Linked DNA regions of Arabidopsis thaliana. The protein of the gene in region 1 purifies or fractionates together with the protein of each later gene. This does not show direct contact. Each region holds a gene or a part of one and is shown in the gene's direction. Other genes may lie near its edges.

Evidence for each region.
Region 2: the proteins of CDKC2 (region 1) and FKBP53 fractionate together in Arabidopsis thaliana (co-fractionation; one large-scale study listed by BioGRID). This does not show direct contact.
Region 3: the proteins of CDKC2 (region 1) and SSI2 purify together in Arabidopsis thaliana (affinity purification with mass spectrometry, with the first as the bait; one large-scale study listed by BioGRID). This does not show direct contact.
Region 4: the proteins of CDKC2 (region 1) and AT2G42520 fractionate together in Arabidopsis thaliana (co-fractionation; one large-scale study listed by BioGRID). This does not show direct contact.

The regions. Positions count from the first base shown.
Region 1 is NC_003076.8:25,952,776-25,959,985, forward strand, and holds CDKC2 (cyclin dependent kinase group C2), read left to right. Parts: upstream 1-2,598; 5' UTR 2,599-2,721; coding exon 2,722-2,834; intron 2,835-3,230; coding exon 3,231-3,312; exon of another isoform or gene 3,313-3,374; coding exon of another isoform or gene 3,375-3,410; coding exon 3,411-3,501; intron 3,502-3,606; coding exon 3,607-3,636; intron 3,637-3,749; coding exon 3,750-3,859; intron 3,860-3,950; coding exon 3,951-4,023; intron 4,024-4,105; coding exon 4,106-4,226; intron 4,227-4,333; coding exon 4,334-4,451; intron 4,452-4,549; coding exon 4,550-4,689; intron 4,690-4,782; coding exon 4,783-4,840; intron 4,841-4,923; coding exon 4,924-4,994; intron 4,995-5,117; coding exon 5,118-5,652; 3' UTR 5,653-6,030; coding exon of another isoform or gene 6,031-6,108; 3' UTR 6,109-6,116; intron 6,117-6,191; downstream 6,192-7,210. Other genes in the region: ATH13 (ABC2 homolog 13), read left to right, coding at 51-140, 285-344, 435-551; AT5G64950 (Mitochondrial transcription termination factor family protein), read left to right, coding at 1,112-2,287; AT5G64970 (Mitochondrial substrate carrier family protein), read right to left, coding at 6,031-6,108, 6,198-6,665, 6,753-7,056.
Region 2 is NC_003075.7:12,958,477-12,965,591, reverse strand, and holds FKBP53 (FK506 BINDING PROTEIN 53), read left to right. Parts: upstream 1-2,820; 5' UTR 2,821-2,959; coding exon 2,960-2,972; intron 2,973-3,056; coding exon 3,057-3,130; intron 3,131-3,253; coding exon 3,254-3,501; intron 3,502-3,608; coding exon 3,609-3,751; intron 3,752-4,021; coding exon 4,022-4,325; intron 4,326-4,420; coding exon 4,421-4,588; intron 4,589-4,789; coding exon 4,790-5,012; intron 5,013-5,384; coding exon 5,385-5,472; intron 5,473-5,578; coding exon 5,579-5,620; intron 5,621-5,697; coding exon of another isoform or gene 5,698-5,713; coding exon 5,714-5,762; intron 5,763-5,853; coding exon 5,854-5,935; 3' UTR 5,936-6,243; downstream 6,244-7,115. Other genes in the region: SHB1 (EXS (ERD1/XPR1/SYG1) family protein), read left to right, coding at 1-67, 146-217, 288-417, 508-628, 713-971, 1,063-1,167, 1,247-1,291, 1,372-1,803 and 2 more; AT4G25330 (SAWADEE protein), read right to left, coding at 6,909-6,985, 7,067-7,115. UniProt on the Arabidopsis thaliana protein: PPIases accelerate the folding of proteins. It catalyzes the cis-trans isomerization of proline imidic peptide bonds in oligopeptides. Histone chaperone possibly involved in H3/H4 deposition to the nucleosome.
Region 3 is NC_003071.7:18,117,373-18,124,198, forward strand, and holds SSI2 (Plant stearoyl-acyl-carrier-protein desaturase family protein), read left to right. Parts: upstream 1-2,500; 5' UTR 2,501-2,734; coding exon 2,735-2,874; coding exon of another isoform or gene 2,875-2,878; intron 2,879-3,981; coding exon 3,982-4,486; intron 4,487-4,562; coding exon 4,563-5,123; 3' UTR 5,124-5,517; downstream 5,518-6,826. Other genes in the region: AT2G43700 (Concanavalin A-like lectin protein kinase family protein), read left to right, coding at 1-1,127; AT2G43720 (FAM136A-like protein (DUF842)), read left to right, coding at 5,921-6,043, 6,315-6,452, 6,745-6,826.
Region 4 is NC_003071.7:17,701,965-17,709,987, forward strand, and holds AT2G42520 (P-loop containing nucleoside triphosphate hydrolases superfamily protein), read left to right. Parts: upstream 1-2,776; 5' UTR 2,777-2,899; exon of another isoform or gene 2,900-3,070; intron 3,071-3,233; exon of another isoform or gene 3,234-3,302; 5' UTR 3,303-3,417; coding exon 3,418-4,173; intron 4,174-4,259; coding exon 4,260-4,343; intron 4,344-4,665; coding exon 4,666-4,908; intron 4,909-5,580; coding exon 5,581-5,748; intron 5,749-5,892; coding exon 5,893-6,006; intron 6,007-6,243; coding exon 6,244-6,780; 3' UTR 6,781-7,096; downstream 7,097-8,023. Other genes in the region: AT2G42510 (survival motor neuron interacting protein), read left to right, coding at 1-979, 1,347-1,376, 1,763-1,904, 1,984-2,199, 2,339-2,654; COR15B (cold regulated 15b), read right to left, coding at 7,227-7,455, 7,713-7,909.

The DNA.
Region 1 (7,210 bases):
ACTCCCATTCTACATGAATTTCTTTCTAATGAGTTTACTTTCATCCTCAGGAGCAAGGTGATTTGAAGCTTAGGGTCCGAGCGCTAGAGTCTGAGAGGGCATTTCAACGCGTTGCAGCTGTTCAAAAAACAGTAGGAAGTGTAAGTAGAGCTTTCCATTCTCATGTCTTTTTTACATCAAAATCTCTTCAAGTCGTTCTTTGAAAGCATTTCATGTTTTCTGTTTTATGTGTTAAAGTTGGTTTCTTTTCCTCTTTTTGTTAAACCCATTGTGTTTCTCTACAGGCTGTTGCTGCAGGAAGTTTAGTCAATCTCGCAACAATTTTGTATCTGAATTCTATAAAAGTAAGTTGGTACTCTTGTTCTTTTTTTTTCACCTATAAACCTCTTTGTCTGCTCAAATTCACCAACGTTCTTGTTTCTTTGTGTTCTCAGACACCTGCAACTATAGCATATACAGTATGTGCTTTCTTCAGCCTCCAAGTTCTAATCGGAATCATAAAGGTTAAGAAGTTCGATCAACGGGAAAAACTAATCACTGGAACAGCTTAAGAACTTGCTTGGTATGTCATGATTTATCACCTCTTGATGTTTACAAGTTACATTATCAGACTCAAATTCTCACACTCATTTTTTGGCTTAATTTGTACAGAAGAAATGTATTAAAGCTTCTTCAATCTCCATAAACCCTTTTGTGCATTTCACAGGAGTGTTAACAATTTCACTGGTCTGCAAATAAAATTATCTTATGGAAGCTTGAGAGGCAAGAGATGGTCAACTAGTCAAACCACCACCACTCTCTCATCTCTGTCTTCTTAAAGTTCGATAATAATTTTTGGAGAGGAGACTCTGGTTGTTCATCAACAGAGTGGTCATGAGCCACATGTATTGCTTGTGTATAGAGAGATTTAGAAATTAGGAACTTTTTCGTATAAATATACTCATTGTACTCAGCTACTCACTAGACTCATCTCTGTTTTAGTAATATTTTGAATACTGTATCTCAAATAAATTAATCTTATCAAATAGAAACCATAGTTGAAAAGTCATGAATGATTCTTAACTGTACAAAATAATAAGCTTTGGTAAAACCCTAAACTTTCGTTTCCAAGATGCAATTTCTAGCTTCTCTCGTTTCCAATTCCAGAAAGTTTGGTCGGAGATGGGATCGAGCTCTCTCGTTGCATCATTTCTCTTCGAATGCGACACCAGCTTCGATATCAAATCCAGCGTTCGTCGAGTTTCTCAGGGACAATGGGTTCCAGAAACCTCTAGCAATTGCCATCGCAATGCGTTACCCTAACCTCAAATCCCTAGAACAACCTCGGTCAGTGATTCAAATGCTTAAAAGTTACAGTTTTTCCGATACCCAGATCCAGAAATCGATCCGGGTCCATCCTCGAATGATGTTCTACAACGTGGAGAAAATTCTAGAACCCAAACTTCGATTCTTTAAAGATATTGGATTTACTGGCTCTGGTCTTGGTAAGTTCGTCTCTCAAAACTCATCAGTCGTTGGTGTAAGTCTAGTGAAGAAATTGATTCCTACCGTTGAGATTCTGAAATCGATTGTTGCCCCAAAACATGAAGACCTTCCTGTCATTCTTAGTAGATGTGGTTGGCTTCTTCTCAGTAGAGACCCTAACTTGTTTCTCTTACCAAACATCTCATACCTTGAAACCTGTGGAATTGTTGGGTCTCAGCTTGCTTCTTTACTTAGAAGACAGCCAAGAATCTTCAATCTCTCTGAGGAAAAACTCAGAGGATATGTCTCTCGTGCTTTGGATCTTGGTTTTACTTTGAACTCGAGGATGCTTGTGCACGCTGTTATCTCGTTAAGTTCTTTGAGCGAGAAAACGTTTGATCGAAAGGTTAAGTTGTTTATGGCTAATGGATTCTCTGAAGATGAGATAACAGATATTATACGAAGATCTCCAGGTTTGATCCGGTGCTCAGAAGATAAGCTTACACTGGGGTTTGAGTTTTACTTGAAGAGAATGGGGTTAGAGAGGGAAGCTTTGGCGAAACGTCCTTGTGTGTTGTCGTATAATCTTGAGAAGAGGGTGATTCCTAGGCTTAAAGTTTTGCAGATCTTGAGGGAAAAAGGGTTGTTGTTAAAAGAGGAGAAGAAGAAGAAGAACATGGTTGGCATTGTTGAGATGACTGAGGAAGCTTTTCTAGAGAAATATGTTGTGAGATTTGGAGATGAGATTGCTGAGGAACTGCTGGTTGCTTACAAGTGCGTGTGTTTAGTCGATGAAACGCTACTTGATCGTATCAAGATCTAATTGTAGATTTCACAAGTCCAAACTTGAAATTTTGTCATTGTATCCAAACTTCGCTCATCCGTAACTGTGTTGAACATTATAATTTGGAAGTAACTCTTAAATCACCCTTTATTACGAGCTTGAAGCTTCTCATATAATAATGGGATTCATATGAAGCGATTCTTTTTCTATTTCAGCACTTGAGCAAAAACTCAAGATTGTCAAAGCGTCTTAAAAATTTGACTCATGAATTTAACCGGTTTGATTTTGGTTCGTTGTAATAACCGGTTTAAACCAGAGATTGATTCCGGATAAAAAAGCTTAGGTTTTTCCGCGAAGCCGACACTGTAAGGTAGGGCTAAAACCTTAGAATAGCCGGAGAGAAGAAGGCGAGAAGAGGAGCGACAAGGGCGAAGCTGCAGAATTCTTCGGTAATTTTCAGATTCGGTTGAATAATGGCGGCTGCGGCTTTTGGGCAGTTAAATCTAGAGGAGCCTCCACCGATTTGGGGATCTCGTAGTGTCGATTGCTTCGAGAAGCTTGAACAGATTGGTGAAGGAACTTACGGGTATTCTTCTCCATTCTTTTTTTTTCTGGGTTTTGTTCCTTGATTCCAATTTATTTGGTTTTGTCAGAGTACTCGTGCTCAAGACTGAAATTTCTCAAATTTGAACGATTTCGCTAGGGCCACTTGATATATAAGTTTTTTTGAAACAATTTTGATTGTGAAACGTTTATATATAGTTATTGATCCATATATTGTTGATTTGAGGAATTTTAACTTTGCCTCTTATCTCAATAAATTCGATTTTGTTGATTGAATTTGGGAATTCTCAGATTCTTGGTATGGTAGATATATATATATATATATATATATATATATATATATATATGTTGCAATAAACTTCTGAAGCTGTCTCTTTTGATGGTGTTTAGATTCATATATTAAAATTTGGTTTTGCAGCCAAGTGTACATGGCTAAAGAAATTAAAACTGGTGAAATCGTGGCTCTGAAAAAGATCCGTATGGACAATGAAAGAGAAGGGGTAAGCTACATTTGAACTACCAGTACTAGCTTTGACAAGTTGCAAATTTTTGTGAGTTTCGTATGACTTATATTTCCGTTTTCATTGTTTGCATGGAGTTTCCGATAACCGCTATCCGGGAGATCAAAATTCTGAAGAAGCTGCATCATGAAAATGTCATCCATTTGAAAGAGATTGTTACTTCTCCAGGTAATAAGGAACTCTTATCTTAGCTTGTAATTGCTTTAGAAATTTTGTCAAAAGGGGTGTTAAGTTTGATATGTAGAGTTTTGTGACTGTTTTTGTCTTTAAAAGGTCGAGATAGGGATGATCAAGGAAAGCCAGGTTAGTGAAACTTATTCAAGATCGAAATATTTTCTGTACAACTTAGATGCGACTATGAGAGATCTATTTAAACTGCTTACGGCCTAAAGCTTGTTGCTTTTCTTCAATTTTAGATAATAACAAATACAAGGGTGGAATCTACATGGTCTTTGAGTACATGGATCATGACTTGACTGGACTTGCTGATCGTCCTGGACTGAGATTTACGGTTCCTCAGATAAAGGTATTGCATGGCTAGACACCTTGTTGTAGTAGCCTTTGCAAAAACCCTTATTGTTCCGACTTTGTCTGACATTTGAACATATGTAAAAAAGTGTTACATGAAGCAACTGCTGACTGGGCTTCACTATTGTCATGTGAATCAAGTGCTTCACCGTGATATAAAAGGTGAATATATCCCAAAATACATTGTTGACCATTTTGTTCTCTTGTCTTTATTTGCTAGTTAACCTATAATATATTGGTGCAGGTTCGAATCTACTTATTGACAATGAGGGAAATTTAAAGCTAGCGGATTTTGGGCTTGCTCGGTCATATTCTCATGATCATACTGGAAACCTCACAAATCGTGTCATCACTTTGTGGTATAGGTATGTATGCCTACAAACTTTGAAGTTATATACAAAAAAGTGACAAAGAATAAGTATTGCTTATACGTGCAGCTTTTTCTCTACTTATGCATTGTTTATTGCTGTAGGCCCCCTGAATTGTTACTTGGTGCAACTAAATATGGACCAGCGATTGACATGTGGTCAGTTGGATGCATATTTGCTGAACTTTTGAATGGAAAACCAATCTTGCCTGGGAAAACTGAGGTCAGGATTTCATCTTATGATTATCGTGGTGTGTGTTATTACAGTGTTCTTTGATGATGTTTCCACTTAGCGTTTTAGTCATATTTTTTTCTTTCCAGAATGAACAATTGAATAAGATTTATGAGCTTTGTGGATCACCTGATGAAAGCAACTGGCCTGGAGTTTCCAAGATGCCTTGGTATAACCAAATGAAATCATCTCGGCCCTTAAAGAGACGCGTAAGGGAGATCTACAGACAGTAAGTATAAACCATTATGTAGTTGCGACTCTTTTATGCAACAGTTACTTTGATCCAGGAGATCTCATTTGGTCCTTTTCTCTTCTGCTATAGCTTTGATCGCCATGCCCTTGAACTACTTGAGAAAATGTTGGTACTTGACCCATCTCAGGTACCAAAGAATTTTTAATACAGAGAATTAAGAGCCTTGGTCTAGACATTTAAGTCCTTTCATTTTCCTGTCTGTTGGTACAGAGAATATGCGCAAAGGATGCTCTTGATGCTGAGTACTTTTGGACTGATCCGCTGCCATGTGATCCAAAGAGGTAATCAAATTCTCTTAACTTTCTTGTTATGAAAACCCATTTGGTTCATCATACATCACAAATGACGATCAAGAACAATTAGTGAGTGATTCAGCTTGTACTGAAACTGTGTTATGTCAACAGTCTACCGACATATGAATCATCACATGAGTTCCAGACAAAGAAAAAACGGCAACAGATGCGTCATAATGAGGAAGCAGCCAAAAAACAGAAACTGCAGCATCCACAGCAGCAACATTCTCGTTTACCTCCACAGCAACACGGTGTTGGCCAGTCTCATGCCGCTCCACTTTGGCCTGCTGGACCAAACCACCCTATGAACAACAACGCACCACCACCCCAAATACCTGCTGGTGGCCATTACTATGGAGGAAAGCCCCGTGGTGGTGCACCTGTTCCAAACCGGTACCCTCCTAGCGGAAACCAGACTGGTGGTTATAATAATCAGAGCCGTGGAGGTTACAGCAGCGGAGCATATCCTCCACAAGGTCGTGGTGCACCATATGGCGCCGGTCCTAGAGGACCTAGCGGTGGCTATGGTGTTGGACCACCCAACTACTCACAAGGTGGTGGTCAGTATGGTGGATCTGGTGGCTCTGGAAGAGGTCAGAACCCTATGGGTGGTGCTAGAAACCAACAATATGGATGGCAACCGTAAAGAGAACTCAAAGAGACTCGTATGGTGTGGTCTTGGCTTGATGTCTTTAAGGCAGTTGTGATTTTAGATATGAAGACTTATCTTCGCGAAAGAGAATCTATTTTCATTTGATTTCTTGTCTTAATGGCATTCTTCCAAACATTCTGTGATTGTTGTATGTTTAAATCAAGGTTTATATATCAGAACACAGGAAACCAAATTGGATTTTTACCCAAATCTTATTATTTCTTGCAAAAAAACGTTTCACAACCTCTTATCTGTTTTCGATGAAGTGTGGAAAAACTACACGAATCAGTGTAAACCCCAAAAAGAAAACGAAAAAACTCTCCTCTGAAGCAGCTCCAGCAGTAATTGTGTCATTTCTCATTGCTTATTGTCTTATGCGGATGATTCTACTTTCAGAACAACTTTCATGAACTCGTAAACAAAGTAACTGATTGCCGCGGAAGGCAAAACCTGCAATAGTGAGATAATTCACAAAGCTGTAAAACCTGCAATAAGCTGGTTCAAGAGATTAATTTATGACTAGTATTAAGGAATCAAACCTGCAATAAGCTGGGAATCAAGCCAGCATATAGAGCAGGAACACCTCCTTGTTCAATGATCTTCACACAAGTAGCCACTGCGCTTAACCTTTTAGCATGTGACTGCATTTGTAAACGCCTTCTCACAACTTCAAACGGATATGTTGCTGCTTCTGAGCAAGCCCCTGCGATTGCTCCATATAACAAAGTTCTCATGGGACCAAGCTCGAGTTGATCGAAAGCATTAAGTTCTTCACCTTCTTGCTTCATGTGTTCAAGCCGTTTCTTACCTTCCGGTGTATGAAGGTAAGCTGATTTTAAAATATCATAGACACCGTAGAACACAGCTCCCGATGGAGCCATACTAACAAGTGAAGGTACAAGACCTTTGTATAGGGAAAAGAAACCTTCAGTTTGAATCATGTGACGGAATGCACCAACTACACCACCTAATGCTTCTCCACCGGGTGCCACCATAACCGTTCTTATCTGCAATTCAAAACCAAAGTAATGCTAAAGAACCTCCAGAGAATGGTAAAAGAAGCTCAATGAAGTTTTTGTTGTGATTCCACTTACAGTATCAAGTGGTAGACAAAGCAAACTAGCTGTTACTCCGGCAGCTGCACCAGCAACAAACCTCTCGAAATTTGTCGTTTCTTCATTCCCGGACAATTTCAGAAGCTGACCTCTATATGTATCATATGCATAGAAGTTGATGGACTTAAAGGGAGCAGTTCTGAGAATATTAACCAAATTCCCTTTCCAAAATCCTCTAATCCCTTCATTTGTTGCAATCCTCTGAATGAGTTCAAGAAGATTCCCTTGCTCTCCGCGAACAATGTATTCTAGCTTCATCCGTTCAAGAGGTGCAATGCAAGTTCTGCTCAAACCAAAACCCAATGAGCCACCAAACTACAACAAACCAAATCAATACAAAATCTCAAATAAGCATATCAGTAAGTAACCCCAACACTTAAAGTCTACAACTTTATACTGACACTCAATCTCATTTGACCTCAAGAGTTTCGTAGAAT
Region 2 (7,115 bases), on another chromosome or scaffold:
ACATCTTAAAAACTACAGCTTCTTGAACGCTTCCGCTGTTTCCAAGATCATGAAGAAGTATGATAAGGTACTTAATTTCTGTTGATAATTTTGACAAGCTTTTACAGCATTTACTCTAGTTTAATATATATGCTCTACTCTTTAGATAGCCAAAAGAAATGCTGCGAAACTGTATATGGAGATGGTCGATAAATCTTTCCTCAGTAGCTCCGAAGAAGTAAGTATCCTTCTTCTATCTAGGAAAATCGAAACATGAAACTTTAGTTTGAAGCTTTAAACATGTGCAGGTTCATAAGTTGTTGCTAAAGGTTGAATCTATTTTCATTGAACATTTCTCCAATTCAAATCGGAGGGAAGGGATGAGCCATTTAAGACCAAAAATAAATAAAGAACGTCATCTTATAACGTTTTCCACCGGTATATATATCAACACTACAATAACCAATCTTTTGACATGTATTTTCAAGAGTAATTCATCATTTTGTTCTGTTTTTTGTTTTGTTTTAGGCTTCTTTTTCGGCTGTGGTATTTCTCTCATTGTAGCTCTGGGTTTGATCATCCATGCTCGTAATATCATGGGTACACCGGGACAAAGAACTTATATGGAAACAATGTTCCCTCTTTACAGGTCAGTAAAACGACCAAATATAAACCAAACACACTATCTCTGTCTCTGTGTAATATTCTTGAGATATATACATTTCATTTGCAGGTTTTTTGGGTTTGTAGTTTTGCACATGGACGTGTACGCTGCTAATATCTACTTCTGGAGGCGATACCGTGTGAATTACTCCTTCATCTTTGGATTCAAACAAGGCACTGAACTTGGTTATAGACATGTTCTACTTCTCAGCTTTGGTCTTGGTACACTTTCTTTATGTGCTGTCTTATTAAACCTTGACATGGAAATGGATGCTCAAACAAAAGATTACAGATTAGTCACCGAACTTATCCCCCTCTTTCTTCTCGTAGTAAGTTCCTTCTATCTCTCTCTATTTCTCAGTACATTTTACACAACTCAATCTTTGTTTTTAGTAAGACTCGTTTCTCTGCATATTGCAGTTAGTGATTATCATTGTTCTCTGCCCCTTTAACATTTTGTATCGGTCAAGCCGATTCTTCTTCCTCTCGGTTCTGTTCCGCTGCATTGCTGCACCATTTTACGCGGTACCAACAACATATCCTCCTCTCCATTCATCTGAAGCATAAACAGAAATGTTAAGAAGAATGTCTTCCATTTTTGCAGGTGCATCTTCCGGACTTTTTCTTGGGAGATCAACTAACAAGCCAGGTTCGAGAAAATCTATACTCGATAAGATAGCTTCATACTTATTTTGATCGATGATTTCTGATTTAAACAATCAATGCTAGGTTCAAGCACTGAGGAGTCTAGAGTTCTACATATGCTACTATGGTTTTGGAGATTTCAGATATAGACGACGAAACACCTGCACATCAAATATTGGATTCAGAACATTCTACTTCATCGTCGCCGTTATACCTTACTGGTTACGGTTTCTTCAGTGCATCCGAAGAATGGTGGAAGACAGAGATCTGAGTCATGGCTACAATGGCATCAAATACCTTTTGACCATCGTTGCTGCTTCTCTTAGAACAGCTTATACTCTAAACCGAGGAAGCAACTGGAATATCACAGCTTGGGTTTTCTCAGGAGTTGCAACGTTTTACGGAACTTACTGGGACATTGTTCTTGACTGGGGATTGCTTCAAAGAGGATGTAAGAATAGTTTCTTGAGAGACAAGCTTCTTGTTCCTCACAAAACCGTGTACTACGCTGCAATGGTGAGAGCAAACAGAAAACAGCAATAACCTCTGTTTTTGTTTTTTCTTTATACATATATGGTGAAGATTGTTGCTTCATGTACTTGGCAGGTCCTGAATGTTTTGTTGAGGTTAGTGTGGTTGCAAACAGTTTTGGATCTGAAATTCTCTTTCTTGCATAGAGAAACTATGGTCGCGCTTATGGCTTGCCTTGAGATCATACGCAGAGGTATCTGGAACTTCTTTAGGTAAGCTCCGAGACTGAGAAGATGGTGTTTTCATGCATGAATCTACACAAAACTAATGAAATGTAATTGTTGATTAGGCTGGAGAATGAGCATTTGAACAACGTTGGGAGATACAGGGCGTTCAAAACTGTCCCGTTACCGTTCAACTACGAAGAAGATGGAGATCATCATAACAATTAGCTTAACAAGAAAATACTTGGTTTCACAAAATTACCTAAACAACAACTAAACTTTTCACCGCTGTTCCGGTATACAACTGTAACGATCGAGCTTTGCCTCTCCGCTGTATTCTTCAGAGAGCCAACTCGAGGCTGGCTCACTCTCAGGGTCAGACCTAAGCGATGGTAGAATTATGGAGAAATCAAGTGGAAATCTCTTCGTTCCTTGGTAACAAGAGATACAAACACTTAACTAACTTGGTTACATACAACAAAAAGACATTACTTTGTACACTTACTTCAGATTTTGACAAGAAAGATAGAAACTCACGTCATTGTACAGTGTGTTTAGGTCTCAATATTGTATTGTTTTGTTGAAAGATAGGTCTCATATTGTTTTATTTAAAACAAAATTTCTGAATTTGCGTTTACATGAGAGAAAATTATAGATTTTTTTTTCAAATTAACTCTAGTAAAATAATGAACACAAATTAAATGTTATCAAATATGAAGAGTATCTTGACAATACCATTTACTTTACGATTTATGACAGACCAATATATGGGCTTCATTGGGGCTTCATTGGGGCTTCATTGAATTTCAAAGTCTGTTAAGGCCCAAACTGAGAGCGCGGTTGCACAAATTGTCGAAATTTCTCGAAACCGCTTTAATCTCGATATAAAGCTCGTCTGCTAAAAACCTTCGATTAGGGTTTTAGTCTGTAGAAACAAAGTTGCCGCTTCGATTCCAAGGAGTAACCTAGCTGAGAAAATGGGATTCTGGGGTTAGTTTTCTCTGCTCAGTGTTTTCTTTGATTTTCCCGGAGCATGATTCCTAGGTTCTGATTTTGTGTTGTTAACATATGCAGGACTTGAAGTGAAACCTGGGAAGCCTCAAGCTTATAATCCAAAAAATGAACAAGGAAAGATTCACGTGACCCAGGTACTATACTCTTGTTCCTTCGAGCTGATTTGGGATATGAATTGTATATTTGTGTAGTCTAGTTTTGGAATCTGAATATGTTTGATATATCTATTGATGTATGTATGTTTTGCCATCATTCAGGCAACTCTAGGTACGGGTTTGAGCAAAGAAAAGAGTGTGATTCAGTGTTCAATAGGAGACAAGGCTCCTATTGCTTTGTGTTCATTGTTGCCAAACAAAATCGAATGTTGCCCTCTGAATCTTGAGTTTGACGATGATGATGAGCCAGTGGAATTCACCGTGACTGGTGACAGAAGTATCCACTTGTCTGGATTCTTGGAGTATTATCAGGACGATGAAGATGATTATGAGCATGATGAAGATGATTCGTATCCTTTCATTGTTACTAGTTTACTTTAGCAAATAATGCTTTCTTGTTTTTCTATTATTCCATCTGTTTAGAAATCTTAATGTTTTCATTGCGACTATATTATAGAGATGGTATTGATGTTGGTGAGTCTGAGGAAGACGATTCGTGTGAATATGATAGTGAAGAGGATGAGCAATTGGATGAATTTGAAGACTTCCTTGATAGCAATCTTGAAAGGTATCGGAATGCTGCTGCCCCAAAGAGTGGAGGTACTTTTTCTTACAGAGATCCTTATCAGATTGCATCTTAGTACTTCCATTTTAGCTTAGTGTGATTGCTTGATTCGTCACTCTTGTCTTATAACTAGAAGGTTTCAAAAAGATATTGATAAAAGACTTTTCAAATGTATGTCCGTAAATTTAAGCTTTTGTACAAGTGTGTCTCCTTGGTGCTGATCCTGTTCTACATTTGTGTTAATAGTTTATATGATTGATCTTTCCTTGTTCTGTTAAAACTAATCTGAATGATATCTTTGCTAGTTATAATTGAGGAGATAGAAGATGAAGAGAAACCTGCCAAAGATAATAAGGCAAAACAAACCAAGAAGAAGAGTCAAGCTAGCGAAGGTGAGAATGCAAAGAAACAAATCGTTGCCATAGAGGGTGCCCATGTTCCAGTTTTGGAAAGCGAAGATGAAGACGAAGACGGTTTACCTATTCCTAAAGGAAAATCATCTGAAGTAGAGAATGCGTCAGGTGAGAAGATGGTTGTAGATAATGACGAACAAGGTAGTAACAAGAAACGGAAGGCCAAGGCTGCTGAGCAAGATGATGGACAAGAAAGGTACTACTCTCTTTGCTCTCTATTGACTCTGAGGACAGAGTTCACATATTTTATATATCGTGGGGATACGAAGTTGTTTCTAAAATCTGTTCCAGTGCAAACAAGAGTAAAAAGAAGAAAAATCAGAAAGAGAAGAAGAAAGGGGAAAATGTCTTAAATGAGGAAGCTGGACAAGTTCAGACGGGAAATGTTCTGAAGAAGCAGGATATTAGCCAAATTTCTTCAAACACAAAAGCTCAAGATGGAACTGCAAACAATGCCATGTGAGAACTCTTATTTCTTGATTTGAGAACTTTTTTGGTGATAACAGATTGTGTTTATGTCATTTGTGAAATATCAGTAAGTAAGTATTTGAATTATTACTCACATAGATCACAAAGTAAAAAACGCTTATGAGTATACAGCGGTTCTTTCAAACTTTTTCTCCTAACAAAAGTCTGTGCTTTTTTATGGTATTATTGCAGGAGTGAAAGCTCCAAGACCCCAGATAAATCTGCTGAGAAGAAAACTAAAAATAAGAAAAAGAAGAAACCAAGTGACGAAGCTGCAGAAATTTCTGGTACTGTTGAGAAGCAAACCCCAGCGGACTCCAAGTCTTCTCAAGTACGGACATACCCAAATGGGCTCATTGTTGAAGAGTTGAGCATGGGAAAACCCAACGGCAAGAGAGCTGATCCTGGAAAAACGGTATGCACACTTAAAGTCATAAATTGCACACATAATATCATATGGTTACTGCAATCTCATATAGATTATGCAACAAGGTGGTAGTGTGATAAGAATGTGGGTGTTGAAAGAATTGACACTAGATAGAAAGTGAGCAAAGTAATACCTTGTTAGACTTAGACCTAAGAGCACCAAAGAATATACATTAAATAGGAAGTGAACAAACTAATGGCTTGTAAAACCTACAAACACTCAAACCCTTAAGTTGTGGTTAACTCTGGCTAATTGTCTTTGTGAACTTGGTTTGAATCCAAAATCCTATTAGAGTGCATCAATGTATTTGTGTGTTTTCCCAAATCTTTTTGGAGCTCATTCTATTGTCTCTGAGTGCAGGTTTCTGTGCGCTATATTGGAAAACTTCAGAAGAATGGGAAGATTTTCGATTCCAACATTGGAAAATCACCATTTAAGTTTCGTCTAGGTTGGTATTATAACTAGATTCAAAGATAATAGCTTGGGAAATTGGTTGAGAATTACAGTGTATTGCTGGTGTAAGTGATACTTTATGTTCTTATTGTAACGTGTAGGTATTGGATCAGTCATTAAGGGATGGGATGTTGGAGTTAATGGTATATATCTTAATTTCTTACTGTTTTTTTACTTATAACTTTGTTCAAAAAGTGAATCGTGTTGTATTCATCTCAAGTTTTTGAATTCCACAGGCATGCGCGTTGGTGACAAAAGGAAGCTTACAATTCCTCCATCAATGGGGTAAGTAAACTCATTTTGATTTATGTTATTTTGAATTAGCAATGTTTTGTTAAACCTTTTTAATGGGATGATAATATTGTTTGGCTCCCAGGTATGGTGTGAAGGGTGCTGGTGGCCAGATTCCTCCTAATTCTTGGCTGACTTTTGATGTCGAACTGATTAATGTTCAATAAAACTGCCCTGAATTCATAGAATCTCTGATGAGGGGTTTCTGAATGGTGTTGTAGCTGCAAAAGATTGTTTCTTTCCTTTTTAACACTTGAATCTTTTTGAAAAATGGATTTGTGTTTCAAGTGATAAGACCATAGCATTTGTTTCCCAGATTTCCTCTTCCAGATAGCTTTTGTTGGCCTATTTTACACTTGCTTAAAAACCAAAAATTGGAATCATACAAATGCTGTTTACATAGTAGATGGACTTGAACCCAAAAAGGGGCCAATCAACTTTAAGCCAGATTTTATAGCAACGACAACCCCGACTCGTGAATCCGTTCAATTGAATAATGTAAATAATACCCCTTTTTTTTGGTGTAAATAAAGTGATTATAGTTTCTTCTTCATTAGTTAGTATTCAATGATTCATTTGTGGAAAGTCTCTCTCACTAGTCTCTAATCAAGGTCTCTCTACTCTCAGGTACAGTTACGTCACCATCATCACCGTGACGAATTTGTCATTTTTGTACCGTCAGAAAGACTTTGACCTATTTCTTGTTCTGCAAGTTCTTTTTTACTGTTATTTCTGACCTTTTGACCCGTTTTTATTTTTTTATTTTTGTAACATTGATGATCCACCATACGTCACCATTATTCTCCGTCGCAATGGCAATCTCTACGGCGGGCCTCTGGTTTCTGATATCTTAATGTTTTTAGAATTGGAATTTCTCATTTTTGATGTTCGGCTCCTAAGTATTTGATGGACTATGATTGTGAACTTTAGAGTTTGCAAATGTAATTATCAATTATGCCTCTGTTTACAAAACCTTATGTGATGTTCATCAACACAATTAAATCAAGCATATATATTTCAGACCAAGGACTTCAACAACAAGAAAAAAAAAAACAAGGAGTGATAGGCATGAACTAAGAGACTTCCCCAAACTAGAGTATTCAGTTTTTTTTTTGCAACACACTAAGCAACATAACATAATCATCCATCAACGCTTAAGTTGTTTTGAATAGCAGAATTCACCTTCTCAAGAATCTTTTGCCACTCTGTCTCTTCCCCTGTTTCACACATATACACTAATCCGTTACATAGTAAGTTTTTAATCATAAGACAAAAGAAAGATAAGTGTAATAAATTACCTTGATTACATGTTTCTCCATGAAGCTTCCTTCTAGCTTCTTTCAAGAA
Region 3 (6,826 bases), on another chromosome or scaffold:
TGGCATTGGTTCTCTTTGTTGCGCTTGTTGCATCAGCTTTAAGTATCTTTTTCTACAGGAGACATAAAAAGGTTAAAGAGGTTCTAGAGGAATGGGAGATCCAATGTGGGCCTCATAGGTTTGCTTACAAAGAACTCTTTAAAGCCACAAAAGGTTTCAAACAACTTCTAGGCAAAGGAGGGTTTGGTCAGGTCTTTAAGGGTACACTTCCAGGTTCTGATGCAGAGATTGCCGTTAAACGAATTTCACATGATTCAAAACAAGGAATGCAGGAATTCTTGGCTGAGATATCGACAATTGGTCGGCTTAGACACCAGAACCTAGTCAGGCTTCAGGGTTATTGTAGGTACAAGGAGGAACTCTACTTGGTTTATGACTTTATGCCCAATGGAAGTCTTGACAAGTACCTCTACCACAGAGCGAATCAAGAGCAACTCACTTGGAATCAACGTTTCAAGATCATCAAAGACATAGCCTCTGCACTCTGCTATTTGCATCATGAATGGGTACAAGTTGTAATTCATCGAGACATCAAGCCGGCAAATGTCCTGATTGACCACCAAATGAATGCAAGGCTCGGGGATTTTGGGTTGGCTAAGTTGTACGATCAGGGTTATGATCCTCAGACATCTAGAGTTGCTGGGACATTCTGGTACATTGCACCGGAGCTCATAAGAAGCGGAAGAGCAACCACAGGGACAGACGTCTATGCCTTCGGGCTGTTTATGCTAGAAGTCTCTTGCGGTAGGAGGCTGATAGAGCGAAGAACAGCCTCCGACGAGGTCGTCCTAGCTGAATGGACATTAAAGTGCTGGGAAAACGGAGATATTCTCGAGGCAGTCAATGATGGAATCCGTCACGAAGACAATAGAGAACAGCTCGAGCTTGTTTTGAAATTGGGAGTGTTGTGTTCGCACCAGGCTGTAGCAATTAGGCCAGACATGTCTAAGGTGGTCCAGATCTTGGGTGGTGATCTGCAGCTTCCAGATAATCTACTCGATATAGTCAAAGCAGAGAAGGTCAGAATGTGGTCTGAGACATCTGAGAGTGTACTTGGTGTTTTGACATCACAAGGGTCCATTGGTACCTTGACGTTAACGGAACCTTTTACCTCCCGGGGACGCTGAGACGTGATGCTGAGTTCGGTCGTGAAATGATATATGACATGTTTGTTTGTAAATATTTTATGTTTTCGATTGATGACAAAGGAGTCAGAAAGGACACTTGACCATCACGGAAGCGATGACTTCCGTCGGACGGTAAAAAGTGATGGTCGAGGTTTGGTGAGAAATCTAAAAATGTGACGGTGTTTGCTTGATAAATATCTTTATTTTGGTGATTGTATTGAATGTATCGTTTTGATTTCTGTTTATACTTATATCGGCGGTGGAATAATTACACATGACCTGAAAAGTATGCGTTTGTGTTTACTTTTATGTTGTAGTACTTGTTGTGTTTTTCAGCTATGAAAAGTCTACATATTTCTTCTGTGTGCTAACTTATTGGATAAATTGGATATTTTTAAGAGATCTAATGTTTACACAAACGTATGGTGAACACCAATGGGGATGTTTACACACACTTATGATTTATGACTGAAAGAGATGTTAATCGAAGTATATACTCCATTGATTAATGTTAATCACCGAAAGAGATGTTAAACAAGCATTAATGTTTACACTTAAATGTGATGGAACGAAAACAAAGAATAAGTTTAAATTTGTTGTCATGGTCTCAATGAAAAACCGAAAACGTTGTGCTATCAAATTACTCAAAACGTTGAGCTAGCTAAACTTGGCAGAAAAGTATCGAATGATGCTAAAATGCAAAAAACCATTAAACCCAATGTACGGTTTATAGAGTTTTCATATGCCAAGTGGGACATCCACGTGGAGATCCTATGCCACTTGTCCCCTCTCTGTCTCTTTCATGCTTCAAACTTATTTGGCTTTTACGTGGATTCTCACGCCCGAGTACGTCGATTATTACAAAACTCACATAAATTAATATAAACACTTTATATTTTGTTTTGACCTTTTTACCCCTTCTCATTGCTCATCAATTTTCATAGATCTAATACCAAATTATCACACATATAGGAGAGTCATCTAACAATTAGCACAAGTCATGAGTGAAAGAGACTAAGCATGAATCATAATCATCTTTGACATAGGTGCTCAAAAGTAATCAATTTTTTCAACTTTACTATTCAACTCAATAAAAGAATTTTTAATCAACAATTCTTTTCAAGATGTATCCCTTTTTTTTCTTGCAACTTTTTCTCAACTATATTAATATTTAGTATACTGCTACTTAGCTACTCGATGTTTTGATGTATCATTGATCATTATTGTTGACTAATAATTATTTGATACAAATATTTTACCGACATATGTAAGAACAATAGTGTCAAAATTGAAGCATCTCAAGGGTATTTTAGAACAGATACCCAATTTATTTATTTTTATAATTTGTCACCTTGTTTTTCACACACAAATGACAATATGACGTCATTTTCCTTATTAGAATAATTTTTTTAACAAAAAAAAGAATTATTTATTTTCGTCTCTCTTATTGCTTGCTACGCTCAACGCTGTGCATAAGCATTCTCTTTCTGTGGACGAAACTAAACCTGAGAGAAAAAGCCAGAAGAACCAAACTCAGACCGAGAGATAGAGATTGAGGGAGAGCTCTAGCTCTGTAGAAAAGAAGGATTCATTCATCATATCCAGAAATGGCTCTAAAGTTTAACCCTTTGGTGGCATCTCAGCCTTACAAATTCCCTTCCTCGACTCGTCCGCCAACTCCTTCTTTCAGATCTCCCAAGTTCCTCTGCCTCGCTTCTTCTTCTCCGGCTCTCAGCTCCGGCCCCAAGTCAGTCTCTTTCTCTCCATCATCGTCTCTCTTATCTACTTTCGATTCTCTCTGTTTCATCTTTGTTTACTGTGTTCTGGGTTTTGCTTGTTCTTATCGATATTGGATCTACGTTTTCTCGATTTTGTTCAGTGTTATTTGCTTACATTTGCTTAATCTCGAGTGTGATTTCAATAAAAGTACGTTCTTTTAATCTGGGTTTATAAGAATGGGCCATCCTCTGTTCTCAGGTGATTCATTAATGCTCTTTTTCATTGAATCTGATGTTTGTTGATTGTTCCCTATTATTCTCACGTTTCTCTGAGATTGCCCCATCTATCAAATCGTTGCCTTTACCATATTTATTCTGCATCAGATTATGTAGATTGCTCGTTGATTGGTTGTTAGTTAAGATTAACACTAGTTATCTTCTTTATGGTATAATGATCTTTAGATTGGTTAAGACTTAACAGACATTGAGGAAAGCTTCTTAGTCAAAGAGAAAGTTTTGTTTTGTTTTCTCTGGTTTAGTAATTTTTAATGGTGAAATGTTTATCCACTTGTTTCTTACTCATTTGATGAGTTTTCTCTTTTGTATTGACAAGAGATTCTTGAACGTATCAGTTTACGTCTGTTTATCTTTCTTCAAAGACATTACGTTGGATATCACGCTTCGTGGCCTTTCTCTATGCATGCGTACTTCGTGGCTTCTCTCTTTAGTTTGCGTCCAAAATTTTCACACTTTTCTGTAATTTATTATTCATTCTTTCTCTGTTTTGAAGACATTTGGCTCTTTATCTTGTCTTTGTCTGATCAGTAGTCACTACATTTGTTTCTTTCACAATCTTTCTTTTTTGCTTCATATTGAACTGCAAGACCAATCCATGAATGCAAATATAAAATATTGTCTTACGGTTAACCATCTCTAAGTGTTTGCTAGTCATGAATTGTGAAATTGTTTCGCTTCAAACATAGAATTAGTTGATTTGGAAATGTAGACATGAATGCTTATCTAAATACAATAAACTGTGTTCTTGTTTCAGTTGTGTATCAGAGATGAGACCTTGACTGGTAATTTCAATGGAGCATAATTAAATGCTAATGATACTTATTTTCTGGTTAATGCAGGGAGGTTGAGAGTTTGAAGAAACCATTTACGCCACCCAGGGAAGTGCATGTTCAAGTCTTGCACTCCATGCCACCTCAAAAGATCGAGATCTTCAAATCTATGGAAAACTGGGCCGAGGAGAACCTTCTGATTCACCTCAAGGATGTGGAGAAGTCTTGGCAACCCCAGGATTTCTTGCCTGACCCTGCATCAGATGGGTTTGAAGATCAGGTAAGAGAGTTAAGAGAGAGGGCTAGAGAGCTCCCTGATGATTACTTTGTTGTTTTGGTGGGGGACATGATCACAGAAGAAGCACTTCCGACCTATCAAACTATGTTGAACACTTTGGATGGAGTTAGGGATGAAACAGGTGCTAGTCCTACTTCATGGGCTATTTGGACCAGAGCTTGGACTGCAGAAGAAAACCGACATGGCGATCTTCTGAATAAATACCTTTACTTGTCTGGTCGTGTTGACATGAGGCAGATCGAAAAGACCATTCAGTACTTGATTGGATCTGGAATGGTGAGATAGTTTCAGGCAATTATCATGATTTCTTGGTTAATATAACTACCTAATCGCTTTAACTTATCTTTCATAGGATCCGCGGACAGAGAATAACCCCTACCTTGGCTTCATCTATACGTCATTCCAAGAAAGAGCGACATTCATCTCTCACGGAAACACAGCCCGCCAAGCCAAAGAGCACGGGGACATCAAACTAGCCCAAATATGTGGCACAATAGCTGCAGACGAGAAGCGTCATGAAACAGCATACACCAAGATAGTTGAAAAGCTCTTTGAGATTGATCCTGATGGTACTGTCATGGCTTTTGCAGACATGATGAGAAAGAAAATCTCAATGCCTGCTCACTTGATGTATGATGGGCGCAACGACAACCTCTTTGACAACTTCTCTTCCGTGGCTCAGAGGCTCGGTGTTTACACCGCCAAAGACTATGCAGACATTCTTGAGTTTCTGGTTGGTAGGTGGAAAATCCAGGACTTAACCGGGCTTTCAGGTGAAGGAAACAAAGCACAAGACTATTTATGCGGGTTGGCTCCAAGGATCAAGAGATTGGATGAGAGAGCTCAAGCAAGAGCCAAGAAAGGACCCAAGATTCCTTTCAGTTGGATACACGACAGAGAAGTGCAGCTCTAAAAGGACAAAGACAAAAACAAAAACCTATCCTCCCGGTTCCTCATTTCATCTGTCTGCTCTTAAAATTGGTGTAGATTACTATGGTTTTCTGATAATGTTGGTGGGTCTAGTTACAAAGTTGAGATGCAGTGATTTAGTAGCTTTGTTTTTCCCAGTCACTATATGTTTGGTCTTTGGTCCGTTAGCACACTTGTAGTAGTTAAAACAGTTTAAGTATGGTCTGTACTCAGTCTTCCTCTTCTCTGTGGAGTTTTGTTTAAGTTCAGGTTAGTTTTGTTTTGTCTCTCTGTTTTTTCCCCTGTTTCTCGACAAACAACTCATGTGGCTTTTTAGCAATTTTGATGGATGATCATGATGAATAATTGAATATCTTCAATGTCAGTTTACATTTAACTAATTGGTCAATGTTTGACGATCATGCTTAATGCTTATCTCTATAAATTAATGTAAAGTCAATAATAATGAAACCCTTGACAAAAAAAAAGTGAGAAGTTGATAGATTTTGAAAGAAGAAACAGAGACGGCTGTTGAGGTAACTTCATGCTTGAGCCAGACTAAAGGAGATGATAATGTTCGTAAATGGGCCCAATTTAAAAGAGGCTAGGCCCAAATAAGGTAGTGTTTCAGAGATGGGAGGCGGTTGAAGCTACCTATGAGAACTTGGGGAAGGAGTAAAAAAATGTTCTCTTTTTCAGTCTTTTTTTGTCTAATTTTTTTGCAAGTAAAGATTCCAAACTTTTTCGAGTGAATCATTGTGAGAGCAAAGTTGAACTAATAAATCAACTCGCCGGGAAAAAATGGATCAAACGGCGGAGGAGAAGATGGTGAGAGAGAGGATTAGAAAGAAAGTTAACGAAGTCAGTTCTGCGTCGCAGTCTCTTCTTTCTCCAGTACAAGACCACATCAATTTCACCCTTCAAGTTCGTCTCTTTCTCTCTCTCTCTCTCAAACAAAAAAAAAAGTTTTTGAAAATTTTGATGTCTTCTTTCTAAAATTGAAGAAACAAAGTGGATTTTTCACAGCTCCCTAGACTCAGTTTTCTTTCTCCTAGTTGCTAAATTCCTAAAGTTATGTTCTCTGTGTATACTCTTCGAAGAAGCCATTGGATATGTACTTGGACTTAGTTTGCTTACTGCGTAGTTTGAGATTTATATAAGAGTTAGTTATTTTTGTGCTTTTGTGTTGATGCAGAAGGCATATTTCAAATGTGCATACGAGTGCTTTGATAGGACAAGAACACACGCTGAGATTAGTCGATGTGCAGAGAGTTGCAGTGTTCCTATCACAAATGCACAGAACTACTTTGATAATGAGATGTCGGTGTTCCAAGTGAGTCTATTTCTCAACTTTATTTCCAGTTACAATTTGAGATTGATACAGCAAAATTTACAAATGCCCATGAACGTTGGAAAATTGGTGATTGAAGTCTTAAAGTCTTTTTCTTGTTCTATTAGAGGTTGATGGATGATTAGTGATTGGTCTGAAACTTTTGTTTTTCAAATGTGTTATTATGAAGATAGTTTAGTTTGTTGTCTCCTGGATTCTCTATTACATGACAACAGCGCTTGGGTTTGAGTACTAGATATTCAAGATGGTGTTTTGGTTTTACTGATGAATGTAGGAGAGGTTGAATAGATCTCTTGTGGTTTGTCAAGACAAGTTTGAGGTTGCTAAGCAACAGAAGACGAGAAGTGAAGCGGTAA
Region 4 (8,023 bases), on another chromosome or scaffold:
GGAGTAGTAGTAGTCTCTGTACCTGAAAATGGTTCCACGATTCTTGAAGAGAATAAGGTTGGTGAAGAGATTAAGGAAAGCTCTGAGATTTCTACTACAGAAGGCGATCGACTTGGAGATGATGTGCTCAAGATAAAGGATGTTGTTGAGACTGATGGGTTCGTCGTATCTATCTCTGATATGAAAGAAAGTTTGAACTCGGAGAAGAAGGGACAAGATTCTGATGGTCAGAGGATTGTGGAGGCTGAGAAGATAATATTGTTCGCTGAAATCGGAGATGGTTCCACGTTTCTTGAAGAGAATAAGGAACTGCAACAGATTAAGGAAGTCTCTGAGATTTCTACAGAAAGTGATCAATTTGGAGATGATGTGTACAAGATAGAGGATGATTGCGTCGGTTCTATCTCTGATATGAAAGAAATTTTGAACTCTCAGAAGAAGGGACAAGATTCTGATGTTCAAATACTTTGGGAGACTGAGAAGAAGAATGATGGGGACACGCTCGCTAGGGCTTCTGATATCCATAAGATCGAAAAGAATGGAAATGGGTCTAAAGATCAGCGTGAGAAGGTGGAAAGAGTGAGAGTTAAGGATAATGCATTTGTTGGAAGATCTGTGAATATTGATTTGGTTGATGATACTGCGTTGTTTGATGTTGTTCCTTTCTACAAGAAAGGTAAAGATCATTCTAAGAGACCAGTAACTGCACACACTGATAAGGATGCACCAAGAAAGCATAAGAAAGTTGGAGTAGAGAAACCGATTGATAAGGGAAATGCTTCTAGCATTGTTGAAAGGAATGCGTCAACCAAAGTTTCTGACTTTCGTAACAGTGGAGAAATGAATGGGAAGCAGTTGCGGATAATGTACTCTAGGAACCAAATGGAGTCGATGAGGTATGCCCACATTGCGAATCAGAAGAAACTGTGGAGTGACTTGTATGCTAGACTCCTACCTGAGCTGGTGACTGAGTACGAAGGTTTGAAGAATCACAAGAGTATCCTCGGTAACCCTCCACTTACTTTACTTTTATCTTAGCTGCTGCATTTTGTGGTGTTGCCTGTTTTTAGTTGAACATGTTGAGGAAACTTTTAGGTCTAATAGAAATATGTCACTCCAAGTTAAGATTACTTAGCTCATGTATAACCTTAAGCTATATCTGCTGCATTTTTGTTTGTGTGTGTCACTCAAATGGCTTTTTCTTTGCTACGGTTTTATGGTGATTTCCTTCTCTAATGGTCATCTCAAAGTGACAAATCCAGTCGGGCTTAGTGTCTGCGACTCTTTCAGCAGTGGTTGTTCCTAAGTATCTTTTTGATAGGGGCCGTTTGTTTTCTTTTCCACAGGTCCCATATCGGCTGTACCAAGACGAACCCGTCTCTTTGTACATTGACCTGAAGAAATCTGTCGAAGCCTGTGTTTCATAAATCCTGTGTTCACCAATTTTTCCTTTTCTAAGAAACAATACATTCTTTCTGTATATAGATTCTTTAGTTCAGATTGTTTAAAGGGGTCTAGAGAGTTTGTTTGGTTCAAAGTGTGTATGGCCATGATTTTATCGGCTAAAAAGTTGTACATGTTCATACATCTTCAATAAAAATCAATACCTTTGAAAGCTAAATCTTTTTGATGGGCTTAGTTCTTTTCTTTGTTTTTATTGGTTTCTTCAATAGAAATCAAAACTGAGATTCCAAGAAAATGTGACTTTTTGTTTCTTCATGAGAACATTTAGGCAAGGAATTGATGACTTAACTACTTGAAGAAGACTATGTTGTAAAAGAGGAGAAAACTGAAGATAATGACGATTACAATAGCATTTTGAGGCCTGCGTTTGCTGTGGATGGAGAACCTGATTTCGATTCTGGACCACCAGAAGACGGGATTGAATATTTAAGACGAGTCAGGTATATATGTCACTCTGTTTCAATCTTTCTGTGTATCTGCATTTAGGCATATATGGTTAAGTTGTTTCCATCATTTAAGGTGGGAGGCTAAGCGAATTCCAAATGTAAAAGTAGCCAAGGTAAGTGGAAGCAAGTACAGAGAGAAAGAGCAAAGTGTTTACATGCCACAAATTCCCAGAGCACCTGCAACCGGTGAAGGAATGGGAGGACTCGTTGCTTTCCGACTTCTCACACATTCGTCTGGTATTCCTTTCTTCCAACTTGCATACTTATCAGTGTTTCTCTTAACGGACAAGTAATGACTTTAAGTTTTATGGGTTTTTCACAGGCTTTAAAACAAAATGGCAACGAGTCTTTAGGAGATGTACTCATGGAGATATTCAGTAAACGTCCCCACACAAACATTGATGAGTCATTTGGTGGGATGGTTTCAGAGATACAAGGAATGGACTCAGTGACACGGGTATCAAAGCTGAGAAAGCGGATATGTTTGGTGAAAAGGAGAGCGGTTTAGAGAGTAGCGACTGCAAATGGGTAGTAGCATTATGTGCATCAGTGGACACTCCTCCGGATGCTGATACTAGTGCTTGTCTCAGAGCTCTTGTGAGAAAGTGTGCGAGTCTTCGTGCGTTAGAGGTTGGAGTCTTGGAGATGAACAAGTTATCATTATGGCAAATATGCTCATCACCATCGCAGGCAGATATTTTGGCCAAATGGAATGAGAGGAGAAGTGTGTTTACAACAGTTTAAATTTTAAATTCATTAAAAACTAAAAGAAAGAGAGTTCAACATAAGTCGCCGACATACAATCCAGAACGAGAAAACTAAACCGACACGCAAGTTGAAAGATTGATGAAAACGGGACGCAATCTGGTTTGATAAGAGAAGAACAAAAAAGTCAAAATAATTAAAAAATATCTCTCGACCTCTCTTTTCTCTCTATTGATTCTATCGCTCTGCGCATTTGTATCTTGCTCTGTCTCCGATACCAAAAGGTAATTCAAAGGAATTTTAGGGTTTACCGTTGATTTCTTCGATTCGATTTTTTGGGACGTGTTTTGAGGATTCTTCTATCTCTGGGTTTACGCTGATTGATTTCGAGAGCTGTAGCTAGGGTTATCTGCTACTCTTTGTTGCAAATTTTGTTTTTGTTATTCCTTTTTGAGGTGAACATTGTTCTTCTCTTTGCGTGATTCTGTTGGCATTTGTCTTGTTATATTCTTCGTTTGATTATATGCTCTTCTCCGAAGACTGGACTTTTGTTATTCGGTCGATTCGATTATGATGTTTTTTGAGGTTTTGATAGGGCTTCGTTATTTAAAGATGTTCCTAGCTGCTTGCTATTGATATCCGTGGAGTGCTATTGTTCTAACTGAAACCCATCTTGTAACTTTCCAGGTTTTTGTATTCTATTGAAGATTATAAACTAAAGGGAGGAGCTTTGAGAATTTGATTGTTGATATCCAAGGATTTGCAAGCTAGTTTTTTTTTTACGACGTTATACTTTTCGATTATGAGTGCATCATGGGCTGATGTAGCTGACTCAGAGAACACGGGTTCTGGGTCTTCTAATCAGAATTCTCATCCTTCACGACCTGCTTATGTTCCTCCACATCTAAGGAACAGGCCAGCAGCTTCTGAGCCTGTTGCTCCATTGCCAGCTAATGATCGTGTAGGTTATGGTGGTCCACCTTCTGGCTCTCGATGGGCTCCTGGTGGTAGTGGTGTTGGTGTTGGAGGTGGTGGTGGTTATAGGGCTGATGCAGGTCGTCCTGGCTCTGGCTCTGGCTATGGTGGACGAGGAGGTGGTGGTTGGAACAACAGAAGCGGAGGGTGGGACCGTAGGGAACGTGAAGTAAACCCCTTTGAAAATGATGATTCCGAACCAGAACCAGCTTTTACTGAGCAGGATAATACGGTTATTAATTTTGATGCCTATGAAGATATTCCGATTGAGACCAGTGGGGATAATGTGCCTCCTCCTGTTAACACATTCGCAGAGATAGATCTCGGGGAGGCATTGAATCTAAATATCCGTAGATGCAAATATGTTAAGCCAACACCTGTTCAGCGTCATGCGATTCCGATATTGCTTGAAGGGAGGGATTTGATGGCCTGTGCTCAGACAGGGTCGGGGAAGACAGCTGCTTTTTGCTTTCCAATCATTAGTGGAATAATGAAAGATCAGCATGTACAGAGACCCCGTGGTTCACGAACAGTCTACCCTCTTGCAGTTATTCTCTCACCAACAAGAGAGTTGGCAAGTCAGGTTGGGGTTCTCTTCTGATGTCAAGATTCTTCGCTTTGGTAGAAGTTAGTTAGTTTCTCATATCTTGTTCTAATGATTTTTGGCAGATACATGATGAGGCTAAAAAGTTCTCTTACCAAACTGGTGTGAAGGTGGTTGTTGCATATGGAGGAACACCTATTAACCAGCAGGTATGTAATGAGCAAATAGTTTGTTTTTTTCTACTTTTTTGTTTGAACTTTTGATTTCTGAGTTTTGTTTCATGCGTCTGTCACTGCTGTCTGTTTTGTGTCGTCTCTTAGGCTGATTGTTTTGGGTTAAGCATGTTCGTTTCTAAGGCTGCTTAACTTAGTTAAAAGCATGTTTTGGTTTGGAGCCAGCATTTTTCTATATTAAGGATTTATCAATATATGACATGCAGAAGCATTGCTATATGTCGTAGCTGTATCTATGTGTTACTTAATCTGTTTTCAAAAGTCAACATGTTGATCTTGTGTCTTGTTGTTTGTGCAGCTCCGGGAACTTGAGAGGGGAGTCGATATTCTTGTGGCAACGCCTGGTCGATTAAATGATTTGCTCGAGAGAGCTAGAGTCTCAATGCAGATGATTAGATTTTTAGCTCTTGATGAGGCCGATAGAATGCTTGACATGGGTTTTGAACCACAAATTAGAAAGATTGTCGAACAAATGGACATGCCTCCACGTGGAGTTAGACAGACACTGTTGTTTAGTGCTACATTTCCAAGAGAAATTCAGGTTGGTTACTTGTCTGTAAATCACTTTTTCTTTATTCACCTTCTCATTGGTTGAAATATCATTTTTAGTGAACTTCTTCACTTTCTGACTACTACCCCTGCCTTGCTCCGAATTTTTATTTAAGTTTCTTTGCCATGTGTGTTGATTCTTGTGTTCCATACTTTTTCCTTGCAAATTATCTGCTTGTTACATTTTCTATGTTGGGGTTTTGTCGTAACAACCTTCTGTGTCCAGTTATATCCATTTGGTCCTCTGAAAAAAATGAGGGGGAAAAAGAAATGTCCAACTTAAACTGAAAGTGTATGTGAATAGTATATACAAAGCTATATGCATGGTTTCTGCAGAGGTTATATCTTTTCTGAGAGAGGTTTTCTTGTTGTAAAGCTGATTACATGACTTTTAGTCCTACTATTATTCTAGCTAGGCTATGCAGGGGTAAATTTATCCATTTTTATAAAACGATGGTCAATGCCAGTTAACTGACATGGTATTAATAGTTCTATGTGTCAGAAGATTATATGCCACTTCATTAATGGATGATGGTGAACCTATTATGGCAAGCTTTAGATTAATGAAGTTTCATACTTTTGTTTCCTGATTAAGCTGCATAATATAGAATGTTTCTGCATAATCACTTGCAAATTTTAAAAGATTGTATTGTTTCATGTGCAGAGACTCGCAGCTGACTTCCTAGCAAATTATATATTTTTGGCTGTGGGTAGAGTGGGTTCAAGTACCGATTTAATTGTCCAAAGGGTTGAGTTTGTCCTTGACTCTGACAAAAGAAGTCATCTCATGGACCTGCTTCACGCTCAGAGAGAGAATGGCATCCAAGGCAAGGTACAAACTGATACTCCTCTTTTGTTTGGAAGGAATCATCTATTGTTTAGTTCATGATTTATTACCAAAGTAGCTGGTCTTGCCTCAATATTTCAACATGCTCCTTCATACTTTCTGATGATTGTATTCTTTCCATATTTTCAGCAAGCCCTGACCTTAGTTTTTGTGGAGACAAAGAGAGGAGCTGACTCTTTGGAAAATTGGTTGTGCATCAATGGGTTTCCAGCAACCTCCATTCACGGTGACAGAACACAGCAGGTTTGTTATTCAACTTAAAGCTGAAAATGTTGTATGTTAATGTGGACATCAAAATCCAGTCGTACAAATTCATTATTGAGACCAAAGAGAAGATCTCGTGTTAAAATATAGTTCATTGAACTAAAGCTTAAACATAAGTCAAAATCTGAAGGAAAAACTATTGAAATGCACTCTTTGATCATCATTATCAATAAGTGTTAGGAACTAAGTTATTGTGTTGCTATATATGCATTGAAGGAAAGAGAAGTGGCATTGAAAGCCTTCAAGAGTGGGAGAACACCGATTTTGGTTGCAACTGATGTAGCAGCACGTGGCCTTGACATTCCCCACGTGGCTCATGTGGTCAACTTCGATCTGCCAAATGACATTGATGACTATGTCCACCGTATTGGACGAACAGGACGTGCTGGCAAATCAGGACTAGCAACTGCCTTCTTCAACGATGGCAACACCTCACTGGCCAGACCGCTCGCTGAGCTGATGCAAGAAGCTAACCAAGAAGTCCCTGAGTGGCTCACTCGGTATGCGTCACGGTCCTCTTTTGGTGGTGGTAAGAACCGGCGGTCTGGTGGTCGATTTGGTGGCCGTGACTTTAGAAGGGAAGGGTCTTTCGGTAGCGGTAGAGGAGGCTATGGCGGTGGAGGAGGAGGGTATGGCGGCGGAGGAGGCTATGGTGGTGGAGGAGGCTATGGCGGCGGAGGAGGCTATGGTGGTGGATATGGTGGTGCTTCAAGTGGTGGATATGGTGGAGAACCTCCAAGTGCTTGGGACTAAGCTTCCAATGTTCTTTTTGTTTTGGTTACAACTTTTGACAAAAAAAATATTTCTTCTACATTCACAAAGAGAGTATGTATTGCCCCTTACACCTATGAGATTTCACTCAGGAGATGGATATATAACAATTGTTGATGTTTTAGGTGTTTTGATCTTTTTAGGCTATTATTAGGGGTTGTCATAAAAACAGTCATCAGTTTCACAGTTTCTTTATAATTGAGGATCAAAATGAGAGAAGATTTTGACAGATTTTTCCCGAATCCAACTCATAAATACTACTATGTTACTTGTAGTCACTAAAATGTAGTTTATATTTAAATCATTTGATACGTATTTAAAATGTGCTAGTGAGTAATTAACAGCTCTTCATTTCAAATGGTGAAAAAGAAATTACAACAAACTGATCTTATTGTAAACTATTGAACATGACTACATGAGTGGTTGAATCAGGACTTTGTGGCATTCTTAGCCTCTTCTGCTTTACCCTCTACGAACTCAGCCGCCTTGTTTCCGGCTTCTTTTCCTTTCTCAGTCACATAATCCAAAGCTTTCTTAGCTTCCTCAGTCGCAGTTTCATTGGCTTCAATGGTTTTCTCAACAATGTAGTCTTTTGTTTTCTCGCCATCCGCCAAGGCCTCCTTCGTCTTATCCGTCACGAAATCAGAAGCTTTCTTTCTATATATATATATATATATGTTAAGATTCATTATTGACAAACGATTTTAAAAACATATATCTACACCATGGAAACTCAATCCTCAACAAGGCCATTATAGTTGATTATAGTATGTATAAAACTGTTATGATGGGATTAACCAAAATAAAATAACTATCATGGCGAGTACGTAATGTATATGAGAGTTTTTGCGAGTACACATGAAGATAGCCTTAGTCACGAGAAAATTTGTTAAAAGAAAAGAATATAGACTCACGTGGCTTCGTTGAGGTCATCGAGGATGTTGCCGTCACTTTTAACGGCGTATATCAACGACTTCTTGCGCTGAGCAACGACGACGAGCTCACTCTTCCGGCCAACTCTGACGGTACCAACACCACTCTGCTTTGCTCCTACGTTGTGGAAAGAAGAACCCATGCCACTGAGAACAGCTCCTGATAAAGACATCGCCATGAGGACTCTTAAAGATGTTTTTTGGGAGGAAAATAAATACAAGAAAGAGTTTTAAGATGGAGAAAGTGAGATGAGAAAAATCTAACCTCCAATAGTATCGTTTTATAGATCTCT